Linked DNA regions of Saccharomyces cerevisiae S288C. The protein of the gene in region 1 purifies or fractionates together with the protein of each later gene. This does not show direct contact. Each region holds a gene or a part of one and is shown in the gene's direction. Other genes may lie near its edges.

Region 1 (7,958 bases):
CCAATGAAATATTTTTAAAGCTATTTTTTCAAGGTTACGATTTGATCAATGTATTAAAACATTTGCAACAAATTTTTCTTGGGTATCAATCTGGTCATAATGTTTTAAAGTTTCTAACAAAAAATATGGGTGAGTTGACCAAACACTACAGGAATGATAATAATGCAAACTATGACAAGCTGCTACAAAATTTTGAGTTAGAGAGACAATCCGAAAATCCAAACAACCTGATGAGGCAACTCCTGATGATACAGTTCGATACAGAAACACTTCCACAAGTCTTATCGCACTACCTCCAAATTTATCCAGAAGTACCTGAGAATAACTCAGCAAATGACGACAGCGACCCATTGATGCACGCGAATAATTTCAAGAATATGAATGCCATTCTTTTTGATGAATTAAGCAAAGAACGAACGGGAGCCTACCATGGATCCAATCTAGAACTATATACTCCAAAAAGCGCAATTTATCATTTAAAATTTGACATCAACATACCTTATCCATTGAATATTATTATTAGTAGGACATGCATGATAAAATACCAAATAATCCTGCGCTACCAACTAGTTTTACAATACCACTCAAGGCTTTTGGATGAGACTTGGATGGACTTAAACAAAACACCCAGCTGGAAATACAGAGGCTATTCGCACACTGTGAAGAGGAGGATAGTAAGGGCAACGAGAGTGCTGCATGCTAAGATGAACCACTTCATTAAAACCATCATGGAATATTTCAACCAAAACGTAATTGATAAAGAGGTATACTCATTAGAAAAGTGCTACAGAAATCCTACTCTTGCCGTTGCCATCCAAAATGAGCTAGAAGGTGGATTAACAAATATAATGACAAATCGTTGCTTGTCTGACTTGATTCCACTACAGTTACAAATATTTGACATTGTATATAAGTTTTGCAAGTTCATCAAATCTATGAGAGCAAAATTATGTCAACTGGACCCCGTACTATATGAGAAACACAAAAGCGGGATGATGAAAACACTAAACGAAGGCTATCGTACAAACAATGGCGGTCAGGAAGATGTTGGTTACCAAGAAGATGCCGCCCTGGAATTAATTCAGAAGCTGATTGAATACATTAGCAACGCGTCCAGCATTTTTCGGAAGTGTCTCATAAACTTTACTCAAGAGTTAAGTACTGAAAAATTCGACTTTTATGATAGTTCAAGTGTCGACGCTGCGGGTATAGAAAGGGTTCTTTACTCTATAGTACCTCCTCGCTCAGCATCTGCTTCTTCCCAAAGATGAACGCGGCGTTATGTCACTAACGACGTGCACCAACTTGCGGAAAGTGGAATCCCGTTCCAAAACTGGCATCCACTAATTGATACATCTACACACCGCACGCCTTTTTTCTGAAGCCCACTTTCGTGGACTTTGCCATATGCAAAATTCATGAAGTGTGATACCAAGTCAGCATACACCTCACTAGGGTAGTTTCTTTGGTTGTATTGATCATTTGGTTCATCGTGGTTCATTAATTTTTTTTCTCCATTGCTTTCTGGCTTTGATCTTACTATCATTTGGATTTTTGTCGAAGGTTGTAGAATTGTATGTGACAAGTGGCACCAAGCATATATAAAAAAAAAAAGCATTATCTTCCTACCAGAGTTGATTGTTAAAAACGTATTTATAGCAAACGCAATTGTAATTAATTCTTATTTTGTATCTTTTCTTCCCTTGTCTCAATCTTTTATTTTTATTTTATTTTTCTTTTCTTAGTTTCTTTCATAACACCAAGCAACTAATACTATAACATACAATAATAATGGCTGTCTCTAAAGTTTACGCTAGATCCGTCTACGACTCCCGTGGTAACCCAACCGTCGAAGTCGAATTAACCACCGAAAAGGGTGTTTTCAGATCCATTGTTCCATCTGGTGCCTCCACCGGTGTCCACGAAGCTTTGGAAATGAGAGATGAAGACAAATCCAAGTGGATGGGTAAGGGTGTTATGAACGCTGTCAACAACGTCAACAACGTCATTGCTGCTGCTTTCGTCAAGGCCAACCTAGATGTTAAGGACCAAAAGGCCGTCGATGACTTCTTGTTGTCTTTGGATGGTACCGCCAACAAGTCCAAGTTGGGTGCTAACGCTATCTTGGGTGTCTCCATGGCCGCTGCTAGAGCCGCTGCTGCTGAAAAGAACGTCCCATTGTACCAACATTTGGCTGACTTGTCTAAGTCCAAGACCTCTCCATACGTTTTGCCAGTTCCATTCTTGAACGTTTTGAACGGTGGTTCCCACGCTGGTGGTGCTTTGGCTTTGCAAGAATTCATGATTGCTCCAACTGGTGCTAAGACCTTCGCTGAAGCCATGAGAATTGGTTCCGAAGTTTACCACAACTTGAAGTCTTTGACCAAGAAGAGATACGGTGCTTCTGCCGGTAACGTCGGTGACGAAGGTGGTGTTGCTCCAAACATTCAAACCGCTGAAGAAGCTTTGGACTTGATTGTTGACGCTATCAAGGCTGCTGGTCACGACGGTAAGGTCAAGATCGGTTTGGACTGTGCTTCCTCTGAATTCTTCAAGGACGGTAAGTACGACTTGGACTTCAAGAACCCAGAATCTGACAAATCCAAGTGGTTGACTGGTGTCGAATTAGCTGACATGTACCACTCCTTGATGAAGAGATACCCAATTGTCTCCATCGAAGATCCATTTGCTGAAGATGACTGGGAAGCTTGGTCTCACTTCTTCAAGACCGCTGGTATCCAAATTGTTGCTGATGACTTGACTGTCACCAACCCAGCTAGAATTGCTACCGCCATCGAAAAGAAGGCTGCTGACGCTTTGTTGTTGAAGGTTAACCAAATCGGTACCTTGTCTGAATCCATCAAGGCTGCTCAAGACTCTTTCGCTGCCAACTGGGGTGTTATGGTTTCCCACAGATCTGGTGAAACTGAAGACACTTTCATTGCTGACTTGGTTGTCGGTTTGAGAACTGGTCAAATCAAGACTGGTGCTCCAGCTAGATCCGAAAGATTGGCTAAGTTGAACCAATTGTTGAGAATCGAAGAAGAATTGGGTGACAAGGCTGTCTACGCCGGTGAAAACTTCCACCACGGTGACAAGTTGTAAAGTGCTTTTAACTAAGAATTATTAGTCTTTTCTGCTTATTTTTTCATCATAGTTTAGAACACTTTATATTAACGAATAGTTTATGAATCTATTTAGGTTTAAAAATTGATACAGTTTTATAAGTTACTTTTTCAAAGACTCGTGCTGTCTATTGCATAATGCACTGGAAGGGGAAAAAAAAGGTGCACACGCGTGGCTTTTTCTTGAATTTGCAGTTTGAAAAATAACTACATGGATGATAAGAAAACATGGAGTACAGTCACTTTGAGAACCTTCAATCAGCTGGTAACGTCTTCGTTAATTGGATACTCAAAAAAGATGGATAGCATGAATCACAAGATGGAAGGAAATGCGGGCCACGACCACAGTGATATGCATATGGGAGATGGAGATGATACCTGTTCGATGAATATGCTATTTTCGTGGTCATACAAGAATACGTGTGTCGTCTTTGAATGGTGGCATATCAAGACCCTGCCTGGACTGATTTTAAGTTGTTTAGCAATTTTTGGTCTAGCCTACCTCTATGAGTACTTAAAGTACTGTGTCCATAAGAGACAATTATCCCAGAGAGTATTGTTACCAAATAGATCTCTGACCAAGATCAACCAAGCCGACAAAGTGTCCAATAGTATTCTATATGGTTTGCAAGTGGGATTCTCATTCATGCTCATGCTTGTATTCATGACTTATAATGGTTGGTTAATGTTAGCTGTCGTGTGTGGGGCAATATGGGGTAATTACAGCTGGTGTACTTCGTATAGTCCTGAGATAGATGACAGCTCCCTCGCCTGCCATTAAGATGGTGACAAATATTACAAATTTGATACTATTTGTATCTATTTTGTTTTTATCCGGGATTTTTCGTATTTCTTCCTCATTCATACCCTTCCCTTTATTTGTTCCCACTGAGTATAATGATAAACTACGTTAACATTACATGTATAATATTTAGCACTCGTACGTTACTAGTCTTTGACACAAGTTTATATATCCCCCCCTTTATGTTATCGTTTATTGGCTACAGCCTCAGTAATCAAAATAGTCCACTATTTCTATATCATTAACTTCTGCGTCGCCAAGATGTTAATCATGAAACGATCTAGTTCTTCAACAGTTTGCCAGCGACCATTCGAGCTAATCTTGAACAAAAGTAATACTATTTAAGGGTGGGCGCGGGTTGTTATACCGTTTTGAGACGATCTACTATAACGTTATATTTAATTATATAAGTGATGAATTTAATGTCCCGTCCACAACACGAAATCGCACCTCATTTCAACGCGGCAAGTATTAATGTTCTGCTTTATGAAAGATTCCATGAACCCTTTTCTACCTTTTAAATTCCTCTTTTCACTCTTAATCACATGATATTACCTTTACATAGGAAGCGCCAGACATCTTTTTGCCGAGAAAAGCCATTATGCAAGATAATCCTGTAGCCTCATATCAAGGATAAATGCCACTGCAAAAACGCAGTCGTTATTTGGGACTGTATTTAAATGGGCCACTGTTTTTATACAAGTCGAAAATACAATAATACAGAAAATTCAAGCAGGAAGCGAGAAATAACAAGAAGTAACTAGGCATGACAGTGAATGACAAAAAAAGATTGGCAATCATAGGTGGGGGGCCAGGAGGGTTGGCAGCTGCAAGAGTTTTCTCGCAAAGTCTTCCAAATTTTGAAATAGAAATATTTGTAAAGGATTACGATATTGGCGGTGTCTGGCATTATCCAGAACAAAAAAGTGATGGGAGGGTCATGTATGACCATTTGGAAACCAATATATCAAAGAAGTTAATGCAGTTTAGCGGCTTTCCCTTCGAGGAAAACGTCCCTTTATATCCGTCTCGAAGAAACATTTGGGAATACTTGAAAGCCTATTACAAAACGTTCATTGCCAACAAAGATGCTATCAGCATCCATTTCAGCACCGAAGTTACCTACTTAAAGAAGAAGAACTCTCAATGGGAGATAACATCTAAAGACGAACTAAGGACTACTAAATCGGATTTTGACTTCGTTATTGTTGCGTCTGGTCACTACAGTGTCCCTAAACTACCAACTAATATCGCAGGTCTCGATCTATGGTTCGACAATAAGGGCGCCTTTCATTCTAAGGATTTCAAAAACTGCGAGTTTGCCCGTGAAAAAGTCGTTATTGTGGTGGGAAACGGCAGTTCCGGCCAAGATATTGCCAACCAACTAACTACCGTTGCAAAGAAAGTATATAATAGTATAAAAGAGCCTGCGAGCAATCAACTGAAGGCCAAGTTAATCGAGACTGTCCAAACAATAGACAGTGCCGATTGGAAAAATCGTTCAGTTACTTTATCTGATGGAAGAGTACTTCAGAATATAGACTACATTATTTTCGCCACAGGCTATTATTACAGCTTTCCATTTATAGAGCCCTCCGTTAGACTGGAAGTGCTAGGTGAGGGTGTTACTGGCGACAAGCACTCGTCTGTCAATCTGCACAATTTGTGGGAGCACATGATCTATGTAAAAGATCCTACGCTGTCCTTTATCTTGACCCCGCAGTTGGTCATCCCGTTCCCGTTGTCGGAACTACAGGCGGCTATTATGGTCGAAGTATTCTGTAAAAGCTTACCGATAACTACAACTTTCGACTCTAATGCCTGCGGAACGCACAACTTCCCAAAGGGAAAGGACCTGGAATACTATGCAGAACTACAGGAACTACTGAATAGCATTCCACGTAGGGTCGGTCATTTCGAACCAGTTGTATGGGATGATAGACTGATCGATCTAAGAAACAGTAGTTATACAGACAAAGAAGAAAGAAATGTGCTTCTAGCGGAACACGCACAAGCCCTAAAGAAAAAAAAAGCACCATACTTCCTTCCGGCGCCACATACTTAACGTAAAAAGGAATGTACTTGTATAGAAAAAACACATATTGTGCCGCTTAATATTTCGTTTCCCTCATGTATATACCTTATCGCTGTTAAAATAAGAAATCTTCACTTCTGCTATCTTTTTTTTTCAAACATTGATTAATAATCCGGCCGTCCGCAGATTGCTTACGCAGAATATACCGTACCGCCACCGTAAAATTAACGAATACTTAAATTTCCGCCTCTTCCGTTTCGGCAATAGCGAACCTTAATGTAAGTTTTTAAAAGGCAGCGCCAAAAATTGCTCTGAAAGGCCTGCAGTGCTTCGCGGCTACGCAGTTCCCATGTAAAAAAAAAAGAAAACTTTCTTTTTGAATCTGGAAAATCCGCACAGGCGCGCCAGCATAAACCTCAGTATCCTGCAAAGGCCATCCTTTTAAAGATCTTAACAACGTATGAATCTGAGGCAGAGAGAAATTAAGCGATAAACGTTCCTTTTAGACTTTCACTTTCTTGGCCGTCATTTAAAAAAAAATTATCTAATAATCTCTAATTTTAAGTTGAAATCACGCTAACATATGACTATGACTATTAACCTTTTTATGTGGAAAAAAAAGGAAGAATATGTTGTAAACGTATTTTAGCCTTGTTCCCGGAACTTTAATCACTCTGGCAACTTTTTAAGTAGTCTGTCTTTTTCTCGGTCGTATATTCCTCAAAATTCAAGAGGAAAGAGGAAGTGAAGAAGAAAGCCTAGAAAAAAAAAATAGGCATTAACACAAAAACGCACCTAAGGGACTGAGGAAAATCAAAAAAATGATAATTGCAGTTAGTAAATCTTCATAATCGACGCCCACTTATTCTTTCTTTATAGTACCGGGTAGGCGGGTAATTCATACGTAGCTGCTGCGGGAGAACTACTATGTATCATTCCCTGTTTATTTGTATGAATTATTATTTAATACGTACATTCTTGTAAGCCCTTCTTCAACAAAACAAACAAATAAAGCGAGAAAAAAGGGAACCACGAATTAAGATAATTAATCAAACAATAGATAGGAAAAGGAGATCGACGAGTAAGCGTAAGAATGATGGATATCAGCCCTACCTGTTATGGGTACATCGACGACGAGCAAGATCTAGCCCTTGTTTTCCAGGGCGTATTCAATGGAAATTTGAGATGCATCGAACGGAGGCCATATGATGCAGAAAAGGTTGAATTAGTCAACCCCGGAAACATTTTTGTTTTCAACGAAGAGAAATCCGGCATCAAAAGATGGACAGATGGTTTTTCTTGGTCTCCTTCAAGAATTTCAGGCAAATTTCTCGTATATAGAGAGTATAATAGGCTGGGTTCCACGCACGATCTACCGCTGCATAATGTACCTGAGTATAATATCTTCGAGAGGGCTCATAGGAAGTATTTTTATACTGGACTACTGAAAAAAACATTTTCTCTAAAATTCAATATGGATCCCACCGACAGCACTAAGCTGGAAACATTTCATCTTATTGCGTACTATACGGAAAAGGATATTCATCAAGGAAGTTTGAGGAGACCTTCAGAAAATCCTTTCTTCCATAAATTTCGACCTTCACAGAAACTATTAGATGCTTTACAAAAAGTTGCTGTAGGAAATGGCAGATCTAACCCGTCTAAAAATAATGAGAGAGGCAGAACCAAAGCTCATAATTATAAAACGCGCAGGTCTTTATCATCTTCTCCGAGCTATTGTGATCTCTTGAGCAATTATAACAACCATCCTGGAAATATTCCAGTTAGGACCGCAGTTCAGTTACCTTTAACCACCTTCAATAACGCTCCTCGAGAAATGCACCAACAGCAGCACCGACAACAGCAACAATATCTCTTACCCATAGATGAACAGAATAAATTACCTCTCCCGTATATGCAGCACCAGCCACAACCAATTGGTGTTTACAATCCTAACTATCAGCCTGGATTGAGACGTACGGTCTCACAACCTATG
Region 2 (3,423 bases), on another chromosome or scaffold:
GCTTGTAAACATCCTGGACAGTAAGTATAGCAATAGGAATTTCATCATCTTGGAAAAGGGCAATTCTTGTGTCTGGTTTAATTTGGTTAGCAAATGCTTCATCAACATCTAATGTAATAGGGATGGTCCACAATGTGCCGTCTGCTAATCTCGAATCTGTAACAACAGAGGAGTAATCGTTTTCGTTCAAAAACCCAGTCAGAGGAGAAAACCCACCATTTAGAATCAATTCAATATCACATAGTTGTCTAGGAGTCAAGTTCCATACTAAAATGTCCGAAGATTGCGCTTCAGATAACAATTCATTCTTCTTTAACGCATCTCTAGCAATCAAGTCTTGTAGAATACCACCGTGAGGAGCAGGCATGTTAATTATACTTTATTCTTGTTATTATTATACTTTCTTAGTTCCTTTTCAATTGTTAAGAAACGATATCACAACTGTTACGACAGAGAGAGACCCAAGCTAGAGATCACAAGCTAAAAAAGAACCAAGTTTACATATATATATATATATATATATATATATATATATATATCCATATTCATATTTCTCGAGAAAGAGCCTCTATTTCTCATTGGTAAGTAACTTCATAAGAGACTAAGTTGTAAAACTGTGGCTTTGTTATACGGTGATTTCCTTTGGAGGTTGCTAAGGTTTATGGTGTTGAGTGCAGTGTGCACGACAGGGACCGCTAGAATGCGGTGAGTTACAAAATTACACGTGACTTTTCTGGTCACGTGACCTTTTTTTCTGTCAGCAATCCGTAGGATGCGCGTTGGCGCTACAAGTGTGTCATATCTGTACTATATTTGTACACTTATATGTAGTTGTGACAAAAGTCTCTGTTAGTACTAAATTAAACGATGTTATATCTGTGGACCCCCTCACCTTATACCACTACGTACATATCGTTGGAAAATCTAGATCAGAGGGTGGTAAATGAAGTGTAATAGTATTCATTTTTCTTATAAATCATCCCTTCCGTGATTTATACAAAAGAAGAGGAGAATATGCTGAATACTTGGTATATTACTCTACATTATACTCTTATCTTGACGGGTATTCTGAGCATCTTACTCAGTTTCAAGATCTTTTAATGTCCAAAAACATTTGAGCCGATCTAAATACTTCTGTGTTTTCATTAATTTATAAATTGTACTCTTTTAAGACATGGAAAGTACCAACATCGGTTGAAACAGTTTTTCATTTACTTATGGTTTATTGGTTTTTCCAGTGAATGATTATTTGTCGTTACCCTTTCGTAAAAGTTCAAACACGTTTTTAAGTATTGTTTAGTTGCTCTTTCGACATATATGATTATCCCTGCGCGGCTAAAGTTAAGGATGCAAAAAACATAAGACAACTGAAGTTAATTTACGTCAATTAAGTTTTCCAGGGTAATGATGTTTTGGGCTTCCACTAATTCAATAAGTATGTCATGAAATACGTTGTGAAGAGCATCCAGAAATAATGAAAAGAAACAACGAAACTGGGTCGGCCTGTTGTTTCTTTTCTTTACCACGTGATCTGCGGCATTTACAGGAAGTCGCGCGTTTTGCGCAGTTGTTGCAACGCAGCTACGGCTAACAAAGCCTAGTGGAACTCGACTGATGTGTTAGGGCCTAAAACTGGTGGTGACAGCTGAAGTGAACTATTCAATCCAATCATGTCATGGCTGTCACAAAGACCTTGCGGACCGCACGTACGAACACATACGTATGCTAATATGTGTTTTGATAGTACCCAGTGATCGCAGACCTGCAATTTTTTTGTAGGTTTGGAAGAATATATAAAGGTTGCACTCATTCAAGATAGTTTTTTTCTTGTGTGTCTATTCATTTTATTATTGTTTGTTTAAATGTTAAAAAAACCAAGAACTTAGTTTCAAATTAAATTCATCACACAAACAAACAAAACAAAATGGTTAGAGTTGCTATTAACGGTTTCGGTAGAATCGGTAGATTGGTTATGAGAATTGCTTTGCAAAGAAAGAACGTCGAAGTTGTTGCTTTGAACGATCCTTTCATCTCTAACGACTACTCCGCTTACATGTTCAAGTACGACTCTACTCACGGTAGATACGCTGGTGAAGTTTCCCACGATGACAAGCACATCATCGTTGATGGTCACAAGATCGCCACTTTCCAAGAAAGAGACCCAGCTAACTTGCCATGGGCTTCTCTAAACATTGACATCGCCATTGACTCCACTGGTGTTTTCAAGGAATTGGACACTGCTCAAAAGCACATTGACGCTGGTGCCAAGAAGGTTGTCATCACTGCTCCATCTTCCACCGCCCCAATGTTCGTCATGGGTGTTAACGAAGAAAAATACACTTCTGACTTGAAGATTGTTTCCAACGCTTCTTGTACCACCAACTGTTTGGCTCCATTGGCCAAGGTTATCAACGATGCTTTCGGTATTGAAGAAGGTTTGATGACCACTGTTCACTCCATGACCGCCACCCAAAAGACTGTTGACGGTCCATCCCACAAGGACTGGAGAGGTGGTAGAACCGCTTCCGGTAACATCATCCCATCCTCTACCGGTGCTGCTAAGGCTGTCGGTAAGGTCTTGCCAGAATTGCAAGGTAAGTTGACCGGTATGGCTTTCAGAGTCCCAACCGTCGATGTTTCCGTTGTTGACTTGACTGTCAAGTTGAACAAGGAAACCACCTACGATGAAATCAAGAAGGTTGTCAAGGCTGCCGCTGAAGGTAAGTTGAAGGGTGTCTTGGGTTACACTGAAGACGCTGTTGTCTCCTCTGACTTCTTGGGTGACTCTAACTCTTCCATCTTCGATGCTGCCGCTGGTATCCAATTGTCTCCAAAGTTCGTCAAGTTGGTTTCCTGGTACGACAACGAATACGGTTACTCTACCAGAGTTGTCGACTTGGTTGAACACGTTGCCAAGGCTTAAATTTAACTCCTTAAGTTACTTTAATGATTTAGTTTTTATTATTAATAATTCATGCTCATGACATCTCATATACACGTTTATAAAACTTAAATAGATTGAAAATGTATTAAAGATTCCTCAGGGATTCGATTTTTTTGGAAGTTTTTGTTTTTTTTTCCTTGAGATGCTGTAGTATTTGGGAACAATTATACAATCGAAAGATATATGCTTACATTCGACCGTTTTAGCCGTGATCATTATCCTATAGTAACATAACCTGAAGCATAACTGACACTACTATCATCAATACTTGTCACATGAGAACTCTGTGAATAATTAGGCCACTGAAATTTGATGCCTGAAGGACCGGCATCACGGATTTTCGATAAAGCACTTAGTATCACACTAATTGGCTTTTCGCCGCATATGGTGTTTCCGGTGATTTCCAAGTATTGTTTCCAAGCATCGTACCTTTCACCATTTGGAGTATCACTTAGCGTTTTCATCGCATATCTGTCCAT

Evidence for each region. Proteins that work in one complex are often made in the same cells at the same time.
Region 2: the proteins of ENO2 (region 1) and TDH2 purify together in Saccharomyces cerevisiae (affinity purification with mass spectrometry; 2 studies listed by BioGRID, with this or other methods). This does not show direct contact.

What each region holds. Positions count from the first base shown.
Region 1 is NC_001140.6:449,536-457,493, forward strand, and holds ENO2 (phosphopyruvate hydratase ENO2), read left to right. Parts: upstream 1-1,791; coding exon 1,792-3,105; downstream 3,106-7,958. Other genes in the region: gamma-tubulin-complex subunit SPC97, read left to right, coding at 1-1,271; YHR173C (uncharacterized protein), read right to left, coding at 1,280-1,618; CTR2 (low-affinity Cu transporter), read left to right, coding at 3,337-3,906; YHR175W-A (uncharacterized protein), read left to right, coding at 4,023-4,172; FMO1 (N,N-dimethylaniline monooxygenase), read left to right, coding at 4,694-5,992; ROF1 (Rof1p), read left to right, coding at 7,056-7,958.
Region 2 is NC_001142.9:453,183-456,605, reverse strand, and holds TDH2 (glyceraldehyde-3-phosphate dehydrogenase (phosphorylating) TDH2), read left to right. Parts: upstream 1-1,924; coding exon 1,925-2,923; downstream 2,924-3,423. Other genes in the region: MET3 (sulfate adenylyltransferase), read right to left, coding at 1-367; MHO1 (Mho1p), read right to left, coding at 3,160-3,423. UniProt on the Saccharomyces cerevisiae protein: Glyceraldehyde-3-phosphate dehydrogenase (GAPDH) involved in glycolysis and gluconeogenesis. Catalyzes the reaction of glyceraldehyde-3-phosphate to 1,3 bis-phosphoglycerate.